Linked DNA regions of Drosophila melanogaster. The protein of the gene in region 2 interacts with the protein of the main gene of each other region in a pairwise test. Each region holds a gene or a part of one and is shown on either strand. Other genes may lie near its edges.

Region 1 (4,116 bases), on a different chromosome or scaffold from region 2:
TTAGTGCGGCGGCGAAGGAGGAGCTATAATTACTAGATTTATTTATGTTCTAAGTTTGGCGATTCAACGCAGGTCAGCAGATAAACGCACCTGAGCTCGGCGCGAATTTTCGGTTTCTATTGTAAATTAAATTGTTAATGAAGATCAAGGTGAATGATAAGATATGCATATGCACTGGTTTAAGTGTATAAGATCTAATCTACTCATCTCACGTAATTGTAAATCCCCTCCCATCCCAAGTATGTTGCCCTGCTAGCATGAAAATCGTAAATCTAAGAGGAGTTCCCCAAATGACCTTAAATGAGAGATCAGAGACCAAACAACCCAACATTTAGCTATTTATGAGTGTCCGTTTCTTCACACATACACCACCAATAGAGCAACCAAGCAACATTTCACGATTAGGTAAACACTATATATATATATACACATATGCCTATTTACATACATATAGAGATGTAGTTACATAGATGTTGTTTTAATTCGTTTAAAACAGTGACATGATGTCCCCAGAAAGTAATAAAATGATTGCGTTTAATGGTTGGCTAAGTAAGATTAATCAAAAGGAAAAGAGGATGCCCTTTTTTTGATTAACAACTTAATTGTAAGGTTTATTACATATAATAAAAGCATAAAAAATAACACAAACTTTGGAGAAAGAGAAAATATAAATGTAGACGAGAAGACTGAACTTTTTACTTATCCTACGGCAGATCGACAATGTACCTAAAACAAGATTAGTTGGAAATGCACAAGTAACAAGTCTTACACAAGAGATTAACAGCTGCCAATCCATAATATTATCCTAAGTGTTCTAAGTTTAAAAAGCGGCACATTTTCTCACAGCGCTGAAACGATTTCTCAACGAAAAGATGTCTAATCCTCATCTGAAAAGGCGCGAAGAAAATAGGTCAGCAATGTCGAAAGGGAAATGCAAATCACATAATGCTACGCACCAGAAAGATAAAAGTTTATGATGCACATGGTCGCAAAGCCGGCGAGCACAGTTGCAAACTGTGCAAATCCCGCCCAGCGTCGCGTTGAGTTCGAGTGCCAGCGCGCCTTCTCGCGCGGTATCACCTCGCAGACGGTGACGTAGAAGAGTGTGCCTCCGGCCAGAGCTTGGACGATAGGCAGAGTTTTGCTGGACCAAGCGGCGGGCACGTCCACGATAAGCATGCCCAGGCCAATGCCAATGACGGCGCCCAGGGCAAACACCGAAATGCCGACGAACTGGGCGCGAAAACTCGTCTGCGGATTCGAGCGGAACTCGAGCCCCAGACAAAAGCCCATCACGAACTTGTGGCAGGCGACGGCCCCTAGAAGAAACAGAACCTACGACGAGACAAAGCAGATTCCGGTTATCTAATTGGACTAAGCCCTCGCATCTCTTTGCTTCAATATTTGCCTAAGATTGCGCACTATAGCCGATCTAGTCTAACTATGTCAAGGCAGGCGGCACAGACCTTTGTGGAAGAGTTCTGAACGCCGATGGCGAGTCCTTCGATGGCCGAGTGCAGTGACAGGGCGACAAAGAGACCCAGAGTGCCTGTCATGGATTGGGCGCAGGGTTCCGTGTGGCTGGTGTGGCAGATGCGGGCGTTGGCGTCCTCTACACTGGCATCATTACAGCCAGATGCGCTGGCCGGGTGATTGTGGTCATGATCGCTGCGTAATCGAAGCACAAAGCAATTAGTTTTGGCTGCGGGAAGGGAAATGCAATAAACCTACTGGCTATGATGGTGCGAATGCCCATGTGACGTATTGGGTTCCGCTGATAAAAGGGGCGCTCGTTCGTCCACTGCGCCATAACCATTGTCATTAGTGGGACGTCTTGGTGGCTCGGTTGCTGGAGTCTCTGCATCGTGGGCATGAGTGTGCTGAATGGCCTCGCCAAAGAAGTAGTGTATGAACTCGTCGATAAAGTAGATGATGAAGAACCCGCCGCACATGGCAACCTCAGCGAATTTCGAGTCCATTTGTTCGCGCACCTGTTGCATGCGTAAGTCAGCAGGTTATCAAATTGCAGCCACACACACGATCGCAGTCCAAGCTCTTACCTCGGGCAGAATGTGCACCAGTGCGGTGGCTAGCAGAATGCCCGCTCCGAAGCACAGGAGCAGGGATGCGGTCAGCGGGAAGCGGCGACGATTCCGTTCCGATATAAAGGCGGGCAGCAATCCGAACAAAAGACTCCCGAGTCCGAGGACCAGCATAGCCAGCACTTTTTCCAAGTCGCCGCGACTCGTGGCAGCCAGGGTGGGGCTTGGGGTGATCTCCATGTTTAGACCGTCGGTTGGCAAGCTCATTGTATCAACTGCCAGACTGTGTCATCAAGAAGGGGGCCAGTAAAACACACAAAAGTTCGTTGCATTTACTATTTTTAAACTAAACAGTTGCGAAGTGTGTGCAGCTGCTTTCGTGCGAAATACCAAAACGCCTTACAATGGGGGGGCCACAGAAAAGTAAGGCATTTCAGCAGTGCGCCTTTCAGATCACACTCATTTAAACGGTTTTTTTTTTTTTTAATTTTATTTAAACATTTAAATCTAGAACTATTCTTTTACCAACCACCACCATTAAGAATTTCAATAAAAGAAGGTAGGCACCCTCTCCAATTATAGTTTTGCACTTCGACAAATGCTCCTGTAGTTAAAATTCAAAATTTTACCGTTTCCGTCCTGGTTGTCCGTTGGAAAATGCATCGTCGTTGTATAATCTGTGGCCAGGAGCCGGGCGAGCAGTGCGTCTACCCGCGCAACATGTCGGAGGCTCGCCGGTGGCAGAACTTGGCCAACCTCAGCAGTTTTGACGTCGACCCCGAATCGCTATGCCGGCACGGATGCGTTTGCGCCTCCCATTTGGATGGCCACGGATCAGGTTCGGAATCGGAGAGCTCGTCTCGTGCTGCTGGCAGGGCAAGGACTCAAGCTGGCCTGCAGGAATGGAGCAGGTGGAGCTCTTCGGCATCGGACGCTGGCCATGGCTATTCCATCAGCAAAAAGACTAACGAGCGGATCCAGAACCAAAGCAAACAGAGTCTCGGCTCGGAGAGGCAGGAATTCAGCAGCGCGAACAGATGTACGAATGGTTGCTGTCGTTTTCGAAACACCTGCAACAGCATGTTCCAGGGCAATACATACACCCAAATGGGACAGAAGTATCCCAATCCACAAACAAGGGCCACAAACTTAGAGAACAAAAATAATCCACCTATGAAATTAAGCCCAAGGGTAAATAAACCGACCTTTGGAGCTGTAAACTGCACCTGTGATGGATGCACCTGTAGTTTCTGTCCAGTGCAAGGGATCAAAAAAGCGGTAGCCCCTCTAGAAGAGGATTCAGGCAGCCAACAAAGTATAAATAAAGAGTATAAAGAAAGAAAGGATAATTCCAAAGGCAGCCCAAAAAAACAGAGTTCCTGTGAACGTCTCACTTGTCCAGCTTTCAGGACAACGGACATAAAAACTGTAGCAGATGATTTCCGCAGTAGCCCGAACTACCCGGTATCGCCAACTTCACGAGGTAACAACAAAATTAAAAGTTCGATGAACCAGCAGAATACGAAGAAAAAGCCGGAGCTGAAGAGCGAATGCTGCCAGACGTGCATCACCCAGCAATTGAAGGATCAGGAAGTGCAGTGCTCAACGGTGACGCTGCAGACTCAGAGCTCTTCGCCTGTTAGGCGAACCAAGATGACCGGCTCGTTCAGCCATCAAACTGGAAGCTCAGCGACAGGTTTATCTGGCGGATACACCAATAATTCGAATAACTTTACTTGTGGCGGCGGCGAGAGAAGAACTTCAAATGCAATCAACGTGCTGCTTATGAACGGCACCCGGAATAATGACTATGAAGATGGGTGCTGCTCTCCGGCGAAGCAACGTCCCATGGCGCCGCCTCCAGAGATTTGCGTTCAAGAGTCCGATCTGACCGAAAATGATGAGCGAGCTGTGTTCCCGGAAATCGACAAGCCCAATTACAGAGTTTGTCGATCCTCGAACGAGACCAATGTTCTGGTCCTGGAGGAGAGTCCTTTGAATGATTGCAGCCCCAACCCAGGGCAGGATGCGAGTACACTAGATAGCAAGACGAAGAGTAATTTTGATGCTCAAC
Region 2 (4,622 bases):
GCAGTAACAGTCACTGTCCGACGAGTCACATTTAGAAGCGGCAAACTGGGCAAACACTGCACGTATTTAATTCAATGCCTGGATCTTTTTTGTGACCATACCAGATGGCATATATGTATGTAGATATATGTATGTACAAAATATAGCATAGAACATGCCTCAATTGGTGGCCATTAAAATGCATAAATGCTGGACCGCTTTTTGTTCGCTCCTAGATGAGGCAGTCATAACTAAATACGTCACGACTGCAGCTCCTTTTGGCCATTTGAATTACTGTGAATGGTTTTTGGATGCAATGCCTTATTTACATGCTGCACATGTTGCAGTTCGTGTCTCCTTCATCCCTTTTTTATATCCTTGCACAAAGAGCGTCCATAAAATTGAATGGGAAGTTTGCAAAGGAAATTGTGGTTGATTTTTATGTGGGTTCTGGTCATATACATATATAGTTCCGAAAGTGGAGTATGCCATGGAGAGTTTATTTTTATTTAAAAAAAAGCGGATAGTTATCTCAAGGGGTAGTAATTTAAAGTTTAAGTACATTTGGAGAGTATCCAGAAACAGTGGCGATAAATAAATCGTTTGGCAATATTCGCATGTTAATAAACACTATTACCACAAGAAATTCAATTCCCATAGAATATTGTTAAATACTATTGAGACTCTTGTCCTTTTTTGCACGCTTAAGCGTATCCTTTGGGTCGGATAGTTAAATTTCCGGCCCATGCCCGTCTGAAAAAACGGTCCATGGTGCCATGGCCGGAGCTGCATTAAACATTTATAATTGCAAGACAACAGCCAGCCGGCAGTCAACTGATGCGATGTCTGCGATGCGTCAGTCCTATAAAAATGTAAAAGTATTCAGTGTGAAGTGGCAAAGCCCTGCTAGAAAAAGACGGCAACTGGACAGCGGAAAGAGATAGGGAGAAGGGTTGAACCTGCAGTGGATTTCCTGGTGTACTTTATTTTGGTTTTTTGTGTGCAGTTTTTGCATTTACATTTTCGTAAACCTTTGAAAGGTTCCAGGCAGGCTTAGCAACTGAATAAAACGCGGCTGTCTTAAAGTCACGTCATGTGGGTGGTTCTGTGGGGGGGGGGGTGGCTTTACCATTGGGCGGTTGAATCTGCCGAGGGGCTGTGGCAGTAATGAGGCAACTGCAAAAGCAACAGCTTCATGTGCCGTGTGTTGTGTTAATGTTGTTAGGCTTTGGCATAAACCAGCATCTTCTTTTCAGCTAATGAGAAATCTGTCTCAGTTTCCCCAGCTAGCTCTGCACCCATATATCCTTCTCGCTCTTCAAGGACGTAATAAGAGGGTACAATATAATAAGCACGGCTGAAACATTGAAGGATTTTAATTAAATAGAACCGACAGCGTTTTTGGGCCTTGATGATGGCATAGAATTTATATCCGCATTCGTACGTGGTACAAAGAGATGAAAGTAATGCTCAAGTGGATGCTGATGTTGTCTCCTAATTTCAAGGATGCATGCTGGCACAAGATGCGGCACTTAGAATAAATTAAAAAAGGAGCCAAATAAAGACTAATTACAGTGGAGCGAATATTGAGACGTATTACCATCTACAAGGTTTTTTTTAGATTCTACATTATTGGGGGCCAATGCTAAAATATGGAAACTAGTATTGATATAGTACAAAATTATATTCCAAGGCAAAATACATTTCAAAAACACATTATTGATCACAAGTCGGTTCCAATAAAGTACAACTATTAAACAGTCTAATACTGTCATAAAACCAAGCAAACCTCTTATGGGCACACAAAGCTATCAAACCCTATCACGTATGAACACAAAACCAAAGAAAATCCATTAAAACAGCTACTAAACCGATTAATTAAAATAAACGATCCGTGAATCATCTGCGGCGAAGATCTTTCGGGCAAGCCCAATTTGGTTGGACTCACCATAGAAGACCAAAGTGTAATTGACCTTTTCAACCTGTGCTGGCGCATGGCAAATGCCAGCTGTACCCCAAGATGCGAAAGGTCACACTTGGCACGGACACAGATTCAAAACAGCTTCGGTCACACTCTGAGCATGCGCAGTTGGAGCTATGGACCAAACCGGGTCAACCGCCAAAAGAGGAGGAACTATCAATTTCATGGATATTATGACAGGGAACTTTTCACTCAATCATCACTTTCATAAAGACAACACTTTCCACAGCCCCGCGGGGCGATGTCTTCTCATCAATCAAGTTTGCCGTTCAACAATGATATTTTTATACAGCTCGAGGTGAGAACACGTTTTTGGGTAGCATCTTTTTATTCATATACATAGGTATCTGAGAGTAAGCTAAACTTTTTCACACATTTGCGCGGGTCTTAAACGAGCGCGTGATATCATCTCATGAGCGCGACTTTGGCTTTACTTTCCTCTGAGCCGTTGTTTATTCTTACCTGTTAAGATGGCTGCGAGACATATAAAAACGATCCGTGACATGATTTTGCTGCTGACTTCCTTTGGCTTCGCGTATTTTTTCTACTGAGCGTGAGCGTATAAGTAATCCCGGTTTTGTTTTTTTGGGTTTCCTTATATGTGTGTATGAATTTTTTTTCTTGGTGTCACTCAGGCGTTTGGTTGCACTTGCTTTAGCTTTTCATGCATAAAATATACGGCCAAGTACGTTTTGGTGGCACTTTACGGCCGCTGAGGCTCTGGTTTATATTTTTTATGTGACGTGTGGGTGTGTGTGTGTGTTTTGGGGTGTGCAGTGTGTGTTTGGATGCTTTTTTAACTCCTCGCTATTATTTGTTATTTTCAAGGGGTATATCCGATCGGTTGGTTTGCGCTAATCGAAGATTATGCCACACTTGTAAACACACACGGTGGGCCAAATGCCAGTGGCAGCGATAGTGCTCAATGGCCGGCTAACGCACACGGACGCAGGTTTATACGATTCCGACACGAATAACGATATCAAATCCCGAAATGCCGAACCCAAAATGCCGAACGACCGATGTGCCCACGCAATCCAAGAGCGACAGAGAACGACTGATAGGAGCAACAGTTACCAAACGACTGAATCCGCTCCGTGTTTATAAAGTTGCCAACATGGGCAGCGCAGCGGCCGCGACGTCGGCGCCAGCTGCGGCAGCGACAGCGGCAGCATGCTGCGAACACCAGGCGTATGCGTTTTTACATATGCAGTCGCTGGGGTTGCATGTTGCCGCTGGATGTTGCTGGCGTTTGTCGATGTTGCGGCTGCATGTTGCTGCCGCTACATGCGCGACGAGCTAGCAGCATTGCTCGTTCTAGTTTACGCTTTACAGCGACTGTGTGTACAGGGTACTTTTAAATTACGGGGGTATATGGACTTGAACACACTACCTAAAAATAATGGTTTCAATTTATAGCAGCTGCAGTTTTTTATAATTTATTTTTACAATTATTATTTAGGTCACAGGGAATTGGGTGGGTGCTAGGAATTTATAATCTTTTAATCAACGTTTACCTAGCAAAACAGTCTTTGCAGTGTGCTCCACTAATAAATATGTATTTTGTTGCTTATAATTTAAAATGTAAAGTGAATTGTTGAAAATAACAAACTCATTAGAGCTTAGCCTGCATCTCCGGTTTTGATGACACATCTATTTAGGTGGAAAAATTTAGGTGACTAACGTGTTCTATTTTCCTTTGCGTCATAACTGGAGTTCAAATAAAGTTTCTTAGCATGGTGCTAATTTAAATATTATGAGTATGGGTTTGTACAGTATTTATTTACCTAATATCTACAAGTTAGAAGCCGTTAATAGGTCGTATTTGACCCACAAATGGATTGATTTATTCCTAATACCATTTTTTAATATCTAATGTTAAATAGATGAAAAGTACATTTAACAGTAGAATCAATGGCCCAAAGTTCCGAAAGCATGTTTTTTTTTAAACCGCGTGATAATTTGCTACGACCCAATTGGTTAAGGTTAGGCAAATCAATAAATATAAATTAGATGGACAAAGAAACATTATTTCGGATCGACATAAACATGTGTTGCAAGTAAATAGAATTTAAACGGGCACTCCATACAGTGTAATACTTTCTGCCGCCGCTGTTCTTGTTGTTTAGTTTGATTTGAATTTGTTTGGCTCTTGTGCATTGTGTTGTTGCAGCTTTCGCTCTTGTTGTTATTGCTGGTATTGTTGGTGTTGTTGTTGATTTGGCCAAGTTTGCTTTCAGGCTGTCGCCGTTGCTGCTGCAACTGCCGGATTTCTGTCTATTTGTCGTTTGATAATCTACCCCCTTGCCGGCCGCCTCCTTGGATTTCGCCGGCTTTTGTTTGCCTGTCGTGTTGTCGAATGGCACACATACAAATTCCGACCGAGAGCGAATCTTTGGCACAGTGGCTCCTCGTTCTGGTTGCCGATTCCCGTTCCCAGTTTCCCGCTCCCTCTTCCGCAAATATTCCGCTGTGTTTGCCACAGTTCCAGATCCCCAGAATCGCCCGCAATGGGACTGTGACCTGAAACCCACTTCGATTAGAATGATGTAAACGCAGGCTCGATTTATGGCGAGAACAGTAAATAGTAAGCTACGCAGTACTTAGGAAGTTTGTAATGGCTACCAAATAGAGCGATCGTACAGCTTACATAATAATTATA
Region 3 (7,852 bases), on a different chromosome or scaffold from region 2:
CCCAGAGATTTGTAGGCCAAGACGGTATAATTAAGTTGGCCCAAAGAACAGGTGCCCGTATCGGTCGTCAGGTGAATTCTCATTCAATTATGGCCAATTGGCGTACGTTTCAATTTGCAGTTTAATCTGTAATATTCCCATATCGATTCGATTTGCGGAGCTTAAGCGATGCCATTCAATGATGCCATTTCATTTGAAAATGGTAGTCGATTGCAAATTGGCAAATGGTCATTATCTTATTGCTATAGGTCAAACCATCTCTATTATTCATTCTAACCAATGCCCACGCAGCCAGCAGAAGTCAAGATTCTCGTTTTAATTGGCTCGATTCCAGTGCAGATTCGTTTGTTCTTAATCCGTTCTTTTTGATATCGAATGAAAGTGGAGCCGGTCTTGCTAAGCTTATATTTTAAACTCGAATGCCATTGAAATGGACTTAGGAAACGGTAGAGTGAGTTAGTGAAGATGTTCAATGAAATACCCAATTGGCTTATTGTGTGGTATGAGTGAATCGGAATACCTCAAGCTAATCAAGAATATTTACGGCCTCTCAGTTTTTTTTTTTTTTCAAATTTTATTTTCTTTCATTTATGTATATTCTCTTTTCGCTTACTATTTGAACGGAAATGGGCGATTTTTTGTTCTCCTCAATTTCCGACATATTTCAGATTGAAAAATATGTAAATTCGTGAAATTAATTAAATTTTGTAATGCGATTATCTACATATATCTTATGCCCAATTAAGAAGAAATAGAAAGAAGAAAAAACCTTAGCGAAATGACCATATTGAATATTTCCCCCAGTTAGTAGTAATAGGCATCCGGTGCGGATAAGATACATTCTGTTTGAAGAATCGGTATAAATTATAGTATAATAGATTTGTAAATTTAAATGACATAACTGTCTTTTAAATCCTACAAAGATAAAGAGTCGCTTAGTTTTGGATGCTTTCAGAAATATGTGTGTACATATATTACCAGGTACCGCCTAGTACTAGCGACCTGCCCATTGTGTCAAGTGGGCAATTTCTTCGTTCACAGCCAAGTTGCCTACGATCCGGAGCCGTGTTTAGTAGGAAGCCCAGCCAAGTTCGACCCACGGCACTTGGATGCAGCGGCCCACGCAGAAATCGAGCCATCATAGCAAAGGCATGACCAAAACAATCCGAAGCAAAGTCGCGTCAAGTACGCGTATATAAATAGCCCGATGCCCAGGCAAATATATGTATATATATGTATATGTATGTGTGTACGAATGACTCAGTCTGAGAAGCGATTTGGACTGAAATGATTTTAGCTAAAATCGAGCAGCACAATATACAAAGTCAACAAACAGCAAAACAAGCTTGTCAAACAGAGTTATGAGACAGAATGCTGGTGCATTGGGAAAAATAGTTTTCCAACTGACAGGCTGAACAAATATATATAACTAAATTAACTACTTCATCAATTTGATCTACTGCTTTCGTTACTCGAAATGTTTCTAGTTTAGCAAGTTGAACTTATGCAGACATAATGGTAAATTAGTTATAAAACTAATGAATTTGGTAAATTCCGATCTTTATTTTGTTAAAATTACAACAACTATTGGATGCTACTACCTGAGGAGAGATAATTTACTTTACAAATCTTTAATATCAAGCTATACTATAGTTTTTTCTCTGTGTAAGTGGAAGGGTTGTGGATGCGGGGTAGAGGGGAATTCGGGAAGGGAAGGTGAGCAGATCAGAGCAGAGCAGAGCAGCTGAGAGATGACGCCAACGTCGCTCAGCTGTTTCTCGGCCAAGTTAAGAGTTGCGGCCTTATAAATAGCCCAAGCTCGTCTAGAAGCCGACTCAGTTGAAAGCGAAGCGTGCCAAGTGGGAAATCGCAACCATTTATCAGTTGACACTTTTTGTTTTGTTTTTTATTTTACGTTCTTTATCTGCTGTAGTGCTAGTGTTTTCTAAGAACTGAACCCCGAAAATGGTGAGTTGCAGTGGGAATAACCAAAATCAATATGTATATATAAACGTGTGTTAAGGAATATATCCTTTTTTTTTTTTAAATCATCTAAACTGAAGCAATCTATCAACGATGGATAATTTATAAACAATTTTATAAAAGTAATAAAAATGGGTTCGATTTAAGGAAAGAATCTGAATCACGAATAAGTATATAGATTTAAACTTGCACATTTATTTGCTGTTTATTTTCTTCACCGCGAAAACTTAAGTGAAAAAATTACGCACAAAGGCAATACATAAAATATGCATTCAGTAAATGATACGTGAATGGAATATTGATGTACTTAAAGCAAACACGACAAAAAAAATATTCATTTCACAATGTAAGGACTTAACTTTGCTATTTGCTATTTACTTCCGGCTAGATGAATAGTGGTGAATGGATTTGCAAATACATCGAATGAACCAAGAAATATTCCCACATACTCGTAATGTTTCTGAAGCCCACGATCGGTTTATTCTTTTGAGTGTCTTCGATCTGCCTTTTATCTGCCCATTTTTTTGTTTTTTTTGGCGATGATCAATCACTCAACGCTTTTTAAGCTGCCCAAGTAAACATCAAGCCCATTATTCATTTGTTTGTGCACAAAGCCAAAAACACAAACCAATTAGTTTCTAGCACTTTAGCATAGCTTGTTATTTTAATTGCCATTACGAGAAGAGTAAAAAGTCCAATAGATTTGAATTGTTTACCTTTTTACCTACTTATGTTGAGCACTTAACATTTTCTTGCTCATTATTTAAATTTAGAAAGCATTAATTTAATCTAAACTCTGACAGGTTTTACGTTTTATTTAACTAATTCAAGATTGAACAGATTATATAGTTGACTATTTAGTTCTCGCCCTTCCAAAAGCAATTATTTAAATGTACATATGTATGTACATATATAATATAACAAATATGGCTCTGATTCACTTCACTTCCCTTGCGCAATGTAATCAGATTATAAATCACCCTGCAAGATGTGTGATTTAAGAAAAAAATCCAATTTCCTCCCTCGGTGGATCCATCCGTGCCATTTACGCGATGATCGACAACTTAGTTGATACGAACATGGACTACCATATTGGTCATTCAGAGTAATTCGAAAAGGCAGCCGACCCCCATTTGCATATTCTTATTGTATGCCGATATTTGAATAATTGTTTTTAGCCCGAATTGAGCTTCCAAAGAAGCGGACAACAAGTTTATCACCCATGTGTCATTCGCCAACAATGATCGCCACCTTGAGAGCGAAGCCATATCATCATCTCGATCGTCTCGTCTCGTCTCGTCTCATCTCCATGCCCAGTTAGCCCAAACATGGTGCCACCAGAATCCCACTGACCACTGAGAGTCCAAGTCCAAGCCAATGTTTGCTACCAAACAGCGGATCATCGAGTTAGTCATGTTTATTGGGCTTTTTCAGAACTCGAATGCGATTATGACACATAAACCGGCAAAGGGGGCGTGATACTCGCTTCTCGATTGAGATGTTTGTTCATATCGAATACTTTAGTGAATGAATCCCAATCCAGTTCAAACTCATTTCATTCGACTGGCTCTACGATTGACGCAGAATATGACATTTATCTTTGTATTACCGTTGTCTTTTATTTAGTTTCGTTACTAATGAGAACTAGTGAATGCACTCCATTTGGAGTTACTTCAAGTTAGTATTCAAATATATTCAAATATTATATTCATCTTAGATCGGTATCGTATTGAATTTAAATTCAAGTGATAGCAGCACTAATCGCAGCTGATCCTTCTCTTGCAGCAGCAGCTCCTGGTCGTGGCCCTGGTGGCGGTGGCCATCGCGTCCTTGCCCCAACTGGCCGCAGGTAAAAAGCTGGGGAAGCGCTGCGTGAACTGCACGTACCGCACTTACTACACCTACGGCGATGGGCGATCCCTGCAGCGGGTTGTCTATAGAGATCCGGTCTACACACGTGGTATTTACACAGCTTGCCTATCAGTATCCGTATTCGTAGTCTTACCGCACCAGCACGATGTACATAGGAGGAGAGCACCGCCGCCAGCACCCTGACCCCTGACCCTTGACCCTTGATCCTTGACCATTGACCCCGCGCCCCAAATGTGTCTGCAGTAGCTAACCCCTAACCCCTAACCCCTATATATATATAGTATAGTATATAGTATAGTATAGTATAGTATAGTATAGTATACATATGTATGTACATACCATACTCGTAGTAGCGTAGCATTAGAGATTAGATTGAGACACAAGTTCACCTGCGCACCAGTGCATCACCTCACCGCCTGTGCCTCTCTCCTCTCCTCTCGCCCACACAGCGCAGTCCTACGCGAGCGGATGCAGCGGTAGCCCGTGCGGCGTGAACGCCGTGTGCCAGGAGGCCTCCGGAGGACGGCCCGTCTGCTCGTGCCCGCCCGGATTCAGCGGTAATCCGCTCACCCACTGCAATCGCGGCGAGTGCCTGGACAACGTCGACTGTCGCGACAACCTGCAGTGCAAGGACAATCGCTGCGTTAATCCCTGCGTGGGTGCCTGTGGCATTGGCTCCAATTGTGACGTAAGTGGGACTTTTATGTCGCCAACACTCCTCCACGGCCAACTTCTGGCGCATTCCCTCGCATTCTGACCATCGGCACTCTACGCCACCTCCGCTTGCTCTTTCCAGGCCCGCAACCACGTGGCCGTGTGCAGCTGCCCCGCCGGCTACAATGGCGACCCATACCACGCCTGCCACCTCAACGATCCGGGTAAGTGCCTGACCACTCCACTACCGCCCACATGCCGCGGGGTAGGCGTGGCAGAGCTCAAAATCGATTAAAATGCCGGGTGTCATAAGAGTCGTTCGCTCAACTGGGAGCTGTTGAAATCAATCCGCTTCGATTGTGTATTTCGTTTCACGATTAAATAAATTAATTAATTGGGAAATCTGAGAAATGCACAATTTAAAGATATATGTACTAGTAGATGATCGAATCAATTAAAAGCTCTTAGTTCTTAACGCGCACATCTTAACATTGATTATGTACTAATAATATATGAATTACAATCATCAGCTGGTTAAAATTTTAATTAGCTAAAAGATGCAAGTGATCATACATGTATGTACATACATAGTGTGGATGTGAAAACCAAGCCGAGAAATAAGCCTTGACCACTTGAATTAAATCAAGGGCAAACAGGTTTCTTTACTGAGTTACATAACAATGAGATGAACCAAGAGGAGCGGAGTGTTTGCAGTGTTAAAATTATTGGCAATACACGAATGCACTTGAAAATTGGCATAATGCAATGCCTTGTCTAATAGAAAAATTTCAAACTAAATGAACACATAGATCGCGACATATTTGTAAACAATTTGTAAACAACTCATGTTGTTTATTATGTTTTATTTATTATTATTATTTTTTTTTTGCATTAATGCAAAGTGGACATACGACTGATTGTTCCGGAAATGCATAGATATAGACATGGATTGACATAGGTACATCGATTAATTAGCCCACTCGCGAATCCCTTCTCCACAATGAGGTGCTAGATAAGTGGCAAGATGACGTCGCAAATCCAAGTGGTATTGCCAAATTTGGTCAAATCTAGTGTATTGACAAAAACAGGGGGCTGGGCCTCTGGACAGCATGTGGGTTTACCTTGCTTGCATAACATTTTGCACTCGATGATAATGAGAATTATAATAATAATAATAATAATCCAAAGCCAACGGCCAACGCCCAACACTTGGGGCCTTTGTAATTTTATGGTAATTAGCATAGCATTTCGCTTCGCAATTGTCAAGATCAAGGACGCAGTGGGCGAGCTCTCAAGGCCAACGAGTGTCCGTAGTCGAGCCTAGTAGAGCTGGAATCCGACGGAACCGAAAGGTGGCCCCGGTTAGGCACCAGTCAACATCCGATTATGGTCATAAGCTGCGCAGGTCGGCCAGCTACCATTCAGGTAGCACAGGTCGGCCGAGTGGCTTGGGAATTTCGCTGGAAGAAGACAACTTGATCCACCCGGGGGCTACACTGCAAGAAACTGATTGAAAAATATCATCTTTAGAACGACAAACTGAAGCACACTGAACGTAATTTGATCGGCTTAAATATTTAAGCGTTCTAAATGGGAATAGTAACATTTCCAAACACTTCATATTCAGAACTTGCCATAAATAGTGGCTAAGCGCAGGTTCCGTCATTAGTTGAAATAATTCCTGCTGGGAATTTCTTAACTATAAATATTAAAATTAACACATAATTGAAAGCTTTTTTCTAAATTGTGACCGTGAAAGTTGAGCGGTGTAAATGTCACTAGGACCTGCTTGTTTATTACCAACATTCTGGCTTTTATACGAACGGACAAACGCACATGTTCAAAAGGCAAATTAACTAGAACTTCTAACCAGGAAATTATTTGATGGGTGGGGGGGGGGGGGGGGTCTTCTACCTCAACGAATCTATTATATTCCTTAACTTTTAACGCCAATATTGAGCTGCTAAATATTATCTTTGGCTTGAATTTCTTTAAAATAAAGTCAGTTGAAAACCAATTTCAATTGCTGTCCGTCCAAGAGTCGGCGTCAATAAATTGCATCTCTACGTTGGTTGCTCATTCGGGATTCGTGTCGAGTCCAAGGGCCTGGCATTTCTCGCCCCTTTTCCGATTTCTGCATCTTAACTGGTCCTCCGATATACATATATTCTTGATTTCACTTAAATCCCTTTCTGTGTTGCCTTTACTCCGGCCTCCGTTTGCGTGCAATTCCCATTGAAATACAATATTTATTTGCATTTCCAATTAGCAACTGACTTGGAAACAATAATTGCAAACGAACAGTCTGCGGGGAATGGAAGTAGCTCGGATTCCCTGCTCCATGATGTTCCCTGCTGCCGCCCCAAGGACACCGGATTCTTTTCCATTCATGTTCCTGGGGAGCCGAAGCAGTTGCGATTCCCTTTGGGCGTGTTGCAGACCAACTGAAAACATTCACGGACATTTGCCTTAAAGATTTCGTGCAGGAATACAAATGAATTGCTAACATTTAAAGGTCCACAATGCGTTTGCCACGCCGATAATAAAAAATAACTATTTGGTTAGCTATATATTTCGAAGAAAATCTACCAATACATCGATTTAATGTCGACGACGAGCATTTCCGACTTTCGTTGCAAGACATTTTGCAATCGATTTTCAAAACCGAACTCCACATTTCATTACAATACATTTTCCCGGCGCGGAAAAGTTGCTGCTTCTCGCAAATTATGTCAAAAGGAAATGTAAGAGAAAAGGCCTGATAATGGCGAAACTTTTGCCATCGGAACGGAAAACAACGCAAACTAATTTCTTGACTTGCTCACCGCACCACCACCATCATCATCATCATCATCATCACCATCATCATCATCATCATCTTGAACGACGAGTAACAACAATTGGTGCAAAAATAAAAGAAAATATGGGGTAAAAACCAAAAATATGCGCATAAATGAGCCCGGCTATTTGAATATGATTTTCTATTTGCCCACTTTGAGTGGCCGGCCCCCAATTATTGGCCCCATTGGAGGTATTTTCCCGATTTGACCGGAACACAAGTCACATGACCCGGCATAAATCAAAAATGGGGCAGCAACAGCGGATGTTGACAGGGGCCACAACCCCCAACGATGGTGAAAGGTGAAAGGTGAAAGGTCGGGTGGAAAACAACTTCCTTCGTCGGCCGATTGAACTTTTCATAGACTCAACTAAATCGACACTTGAACTTGGCAATATAGCACTTACTTACTGAAAAGTCTTGCTCAGATGGAAATGAATCCATCATCGCCATGCCGCATTCAAAATATACTGTTGCAGACAGCTTTGTGGGCGAGTCTACGAC
Region 4 (2,754 bases), on a different chromosome or scaffold from region 2:
CGTTCCTTCTGGATAAGCTCCTTCTTCATCTTCTAGCTCTTCCCCTACTGTGAGCCCCGCCTGCAGCGCCCAGCCAACTGGCAGCTGACTTGTTTACACAACACTTTGCATGTGTGTTTGTGTGTGCGGCCATTGCACATGTGTCCATGTCCATGTCCTGCAGGGGGAGTGGCAGGGGCGGTGGCGAAAGGATGGCAAAGTCAGCAAGCAAAGCTCTGGCGGCTTAATGGACGAAACGTGCTGTTGAATTAATTTCTGGCTTTATGCTCTCAATTTTTTCCTTCCGTTTTCCATTCAGCCGCCTTCGTTTTTTCTGCCAGCAGGCAGAAATATATGTACGTCTATGTATTGAATTTCAATTTTTAAGTACTTCAAACATTAAGCCCTACTAAAAACAAAATAAAGAACATTTTAAATAAAAAAAAAACCATTATAAAATTAAACGAAAATTCATAAACACTGACTGGCTTTTTACACAAAAATTAAATATATTAATAATTATGAAAACAATAATTTTTATTATAATCTACAATAGATTTGTGAGATACATTTTTGTTTGTTTGCTTACTCTGTATGAAAAATGTTCAATTTTGCTTGCTGTCTCAGCTCAAATGGGGCTGTGCATAAAGCCTACGAAATCGCGCAAGCTTATGCGACCATCGCCATCCATATCGACTGCTTGGCAGATATCCTTAATATCGTCATCGGTTACGACTTCGCCCAGGACGACCATAATGGCACGAACATCCTGGACGGTGACGTAGCCGTCGCGATCGCGGTCAATCATGTTAAAGGTCCGGCATAGACTTTTATCACTATCCACATTGGCCATTCGGGGCGCCATCATGCGTATAAATTTTTTCAAGTCCAGCCTCTCCTCGTCTCTCACAGCCACCGAATGGATGAGATCGTACAACTCTGCCTCAGTGATTTCGTAACCCACTGATATTAGAGCCAGTCGCACCTCGTTGGCTGATAATGTGCCATTCGAGTCCAGATCATACTTTTCAAAGGCATCCCTCAGTTCGTCGATATGCTCATTCGTCAGCTCATTGCCGGAAAAAGAAGGCATGGCACTAGCAAATAAAACCCTAAAGTAGTTCAGGAAAATCAGGAATACAAAAAAAAAAAGGAGAAATGGGGAAAAACCGATGTGTATGAAAACTGACAATCAACTCAACTCAACCGAACTCAAACTCTGTTCTCGATGGCTAATAAAACACTTAGGCAAGCAATTGTTGTTGTTGCGGTCACAAACTTTTCCGGAATAATAATGCATCATATACTCGTACAAGGGGCAATAAAGGGAAAAAATAAGGAAAGCAGAGATGCTGAAGCATGCAACGTTTGGAGAACCATCCATCAATTTGTCAATTCAGCGCTTGCCTTTGAGTGGCCGTCCATGGGACAGGAATGATGTTAGATGACGATGATGATGATGATGGGCAGTAGTTGTGCTGTGGAGTGCTGGCCATAAAAAATCAAGCGGGCATATAAATTGAAAGGATGCTCTTGTACTAGCTGAAAGGATTTTTTGTAATCCCTGTCCAGTTTCAAGTAATTATATTGAATAAATGCTATCATAGTTGGACTTTTAAATTTCAACCATACTGTGAAATATTTTTGAGAAAATCCTAATTAAGACTGCTGTAATTTCAGCAAATAAGAAAACATTTATTTAACCACACCTTCTGTCTAATGCTTCTACCTCCGCCTCCTCAAATCCCTACAATCGCAGGGGACGCGAAGCCACTGACTTGTCAGGGATTTCTAGGCTTAGAAATAAGTTTTCCGACAGCCCATTTGATTCATTCAACTTTGAGGCCTGCTCTTGTTGCGTTCATTCCCCCAAAGACTTTGAGCCGGATGATAAGCAAATGAAATGTTGTCGCCGTCCCACATGACGAATGATTAATGACACGAATGATACATTTCTCCCGGGGGCAAAAACCACGCGCCACGGCCAGTCAAAAGTTTAAACCCAACTTTAACCATGGCAGGCACTTTTTCACTCGGTGTCACGGTGCCTGGCTGCAAATTTCGCTAGTCAGAGCTTAGTGGGGGATACTGTTTGCAAAGTGACTGAGTCCGGAGTCTTCTTCTGCTACATTAGCCTACTTCCTCCGCTCCACAAGCAACAGCCCACTCAGGATTCCTCTGATGCTGCAACAACTTGTGCTTGTGTATTTGCTTAAGCCGAGCTCGCTTTCCTGTTTCCTTCCGCTGCCTTTCCACTTTTCCACATTCCCACCGCTTCCATGAAAAGGGGGTGGGGGCGCAATGGCGAAGGGGCGCTGGGGCGGGGTCTCAGGAAAATTGATTTTGAAATAGTTGGTCTGCCTTTTTAAATTTGATTGACGTTATTACATTACATAACATCGCACACTAAGAGGAAAGGCGAAGCAGCTGGCTTAAGTTATTCATCCATTTAGCCCCACTTAGGGGCGGGGGATGGTGGTGGTTGGCAGCTAGGGGCGGCGGGTGATTGTGACGGGCAACAACAAGTGGAAAACTGTCATTATATTTGAGTTATTGATGGTTTTTTTTTTTCAAAATCATTTTGCAACAATGTTGCTGCTACCCAACCGCACCGACACACTCACACACACACCAACACACTTTAGTCACACGCTGACAGGATCTACTCCCCCTCAACCGCCACCCCCTTACCCTTCCGCACACACACACACACACTGTTACATTTACGCTTAGTTAAACGCATGGCTGTGGCTTGTTAACGCCGACAAGCGCAAA

What was found.
Region 1: the proteins of Fas3 (region 2) and Zip88E interact in a two-hybrid assay, tested with the Drosophila melanogaster proteins (one large-scale study listed by BioGRID).
Region 3: the proteins of Fas3 (region 2) and aspr interact in a two-hybrid assay, tested with the Drosophila melanogaster proteins (one large-scale study listed by BioGRID).
Region 4: the proteins of Fas3 (region 2) and CG13526 interact in a two-hybrid assay, tested with the Drosophila melanogaster proteins (one large-scale study listed by BioGRID).

The regions. Positions count from the first base shown.
Region 1 is NT_033777.3:15,266,956-15,271,071, reverse strand, and holds Zip88E (Zinc/iron regulated transporter-related protein 88E), read right to left. Parts: upstream 2,411-4,116; 5' UTR 2,310-2,410; coding exon 2,061-2,309; intron 1,992-2,060; coding exon 1,732-1,991; intron 1,669-1,731; coding exon 1,467-1,668; intron 1,336-1,466; coding exon 957-1,335; intron 888-956; coding exon 877-887; 3' UTR 540-876; downstream 1-539. Other genes in the region: Cp190 (centrosomal protein 190kD), read left to right, coding at 1-29; CG14864 (uncharacterized protein), read left to right, coding at 2,700-4,116.
Region 2 is NT_033779.5:18,318,531-18,323,152, reverse strand, and holds the start of Fas3 (fasciclin 3), read right to left. Parts: upstream 3,052-4,622; 5' UTR 2,466-3,051; coding exon 2,423-2,465; intron 1-2,422. UniProt on the Drosophila melanogaster protein: Mediates cell adhesion in a Ca(2+)-independent manner. It plays a role in axon outgrowth, guidance and fasciculation of the developing nervous system. Function in neurons is essential for adult survival, and is important for climbing behavior and activity.
Region 3 is NC_004354.4:20,146,294-20,154,145, forward strand, and holds the start of aspr (asperous), read left to right. Parts: upstream 1-1,830; 5' UTR 1,831-1,965; coding exon 1,966-1,968; intron 1,969-3,768; coding exon 3,769-3,943; intron 3,944-4,304; coding exon 4,305-4,543; intron 4,544-4,651; coding exon 4,652-4,733; intron 4,734-7,852.
Region 4 is NT_033778.4:22,753,643-22,756,396, reverse strand, and holds CG13526 (uncharacterized protein), read right to left. Parts: upstream 1,179-2,754; 5' UTR 1,073-1,178; coding exon 608-1,072; 3' UTR 501-607; downstream 1-500.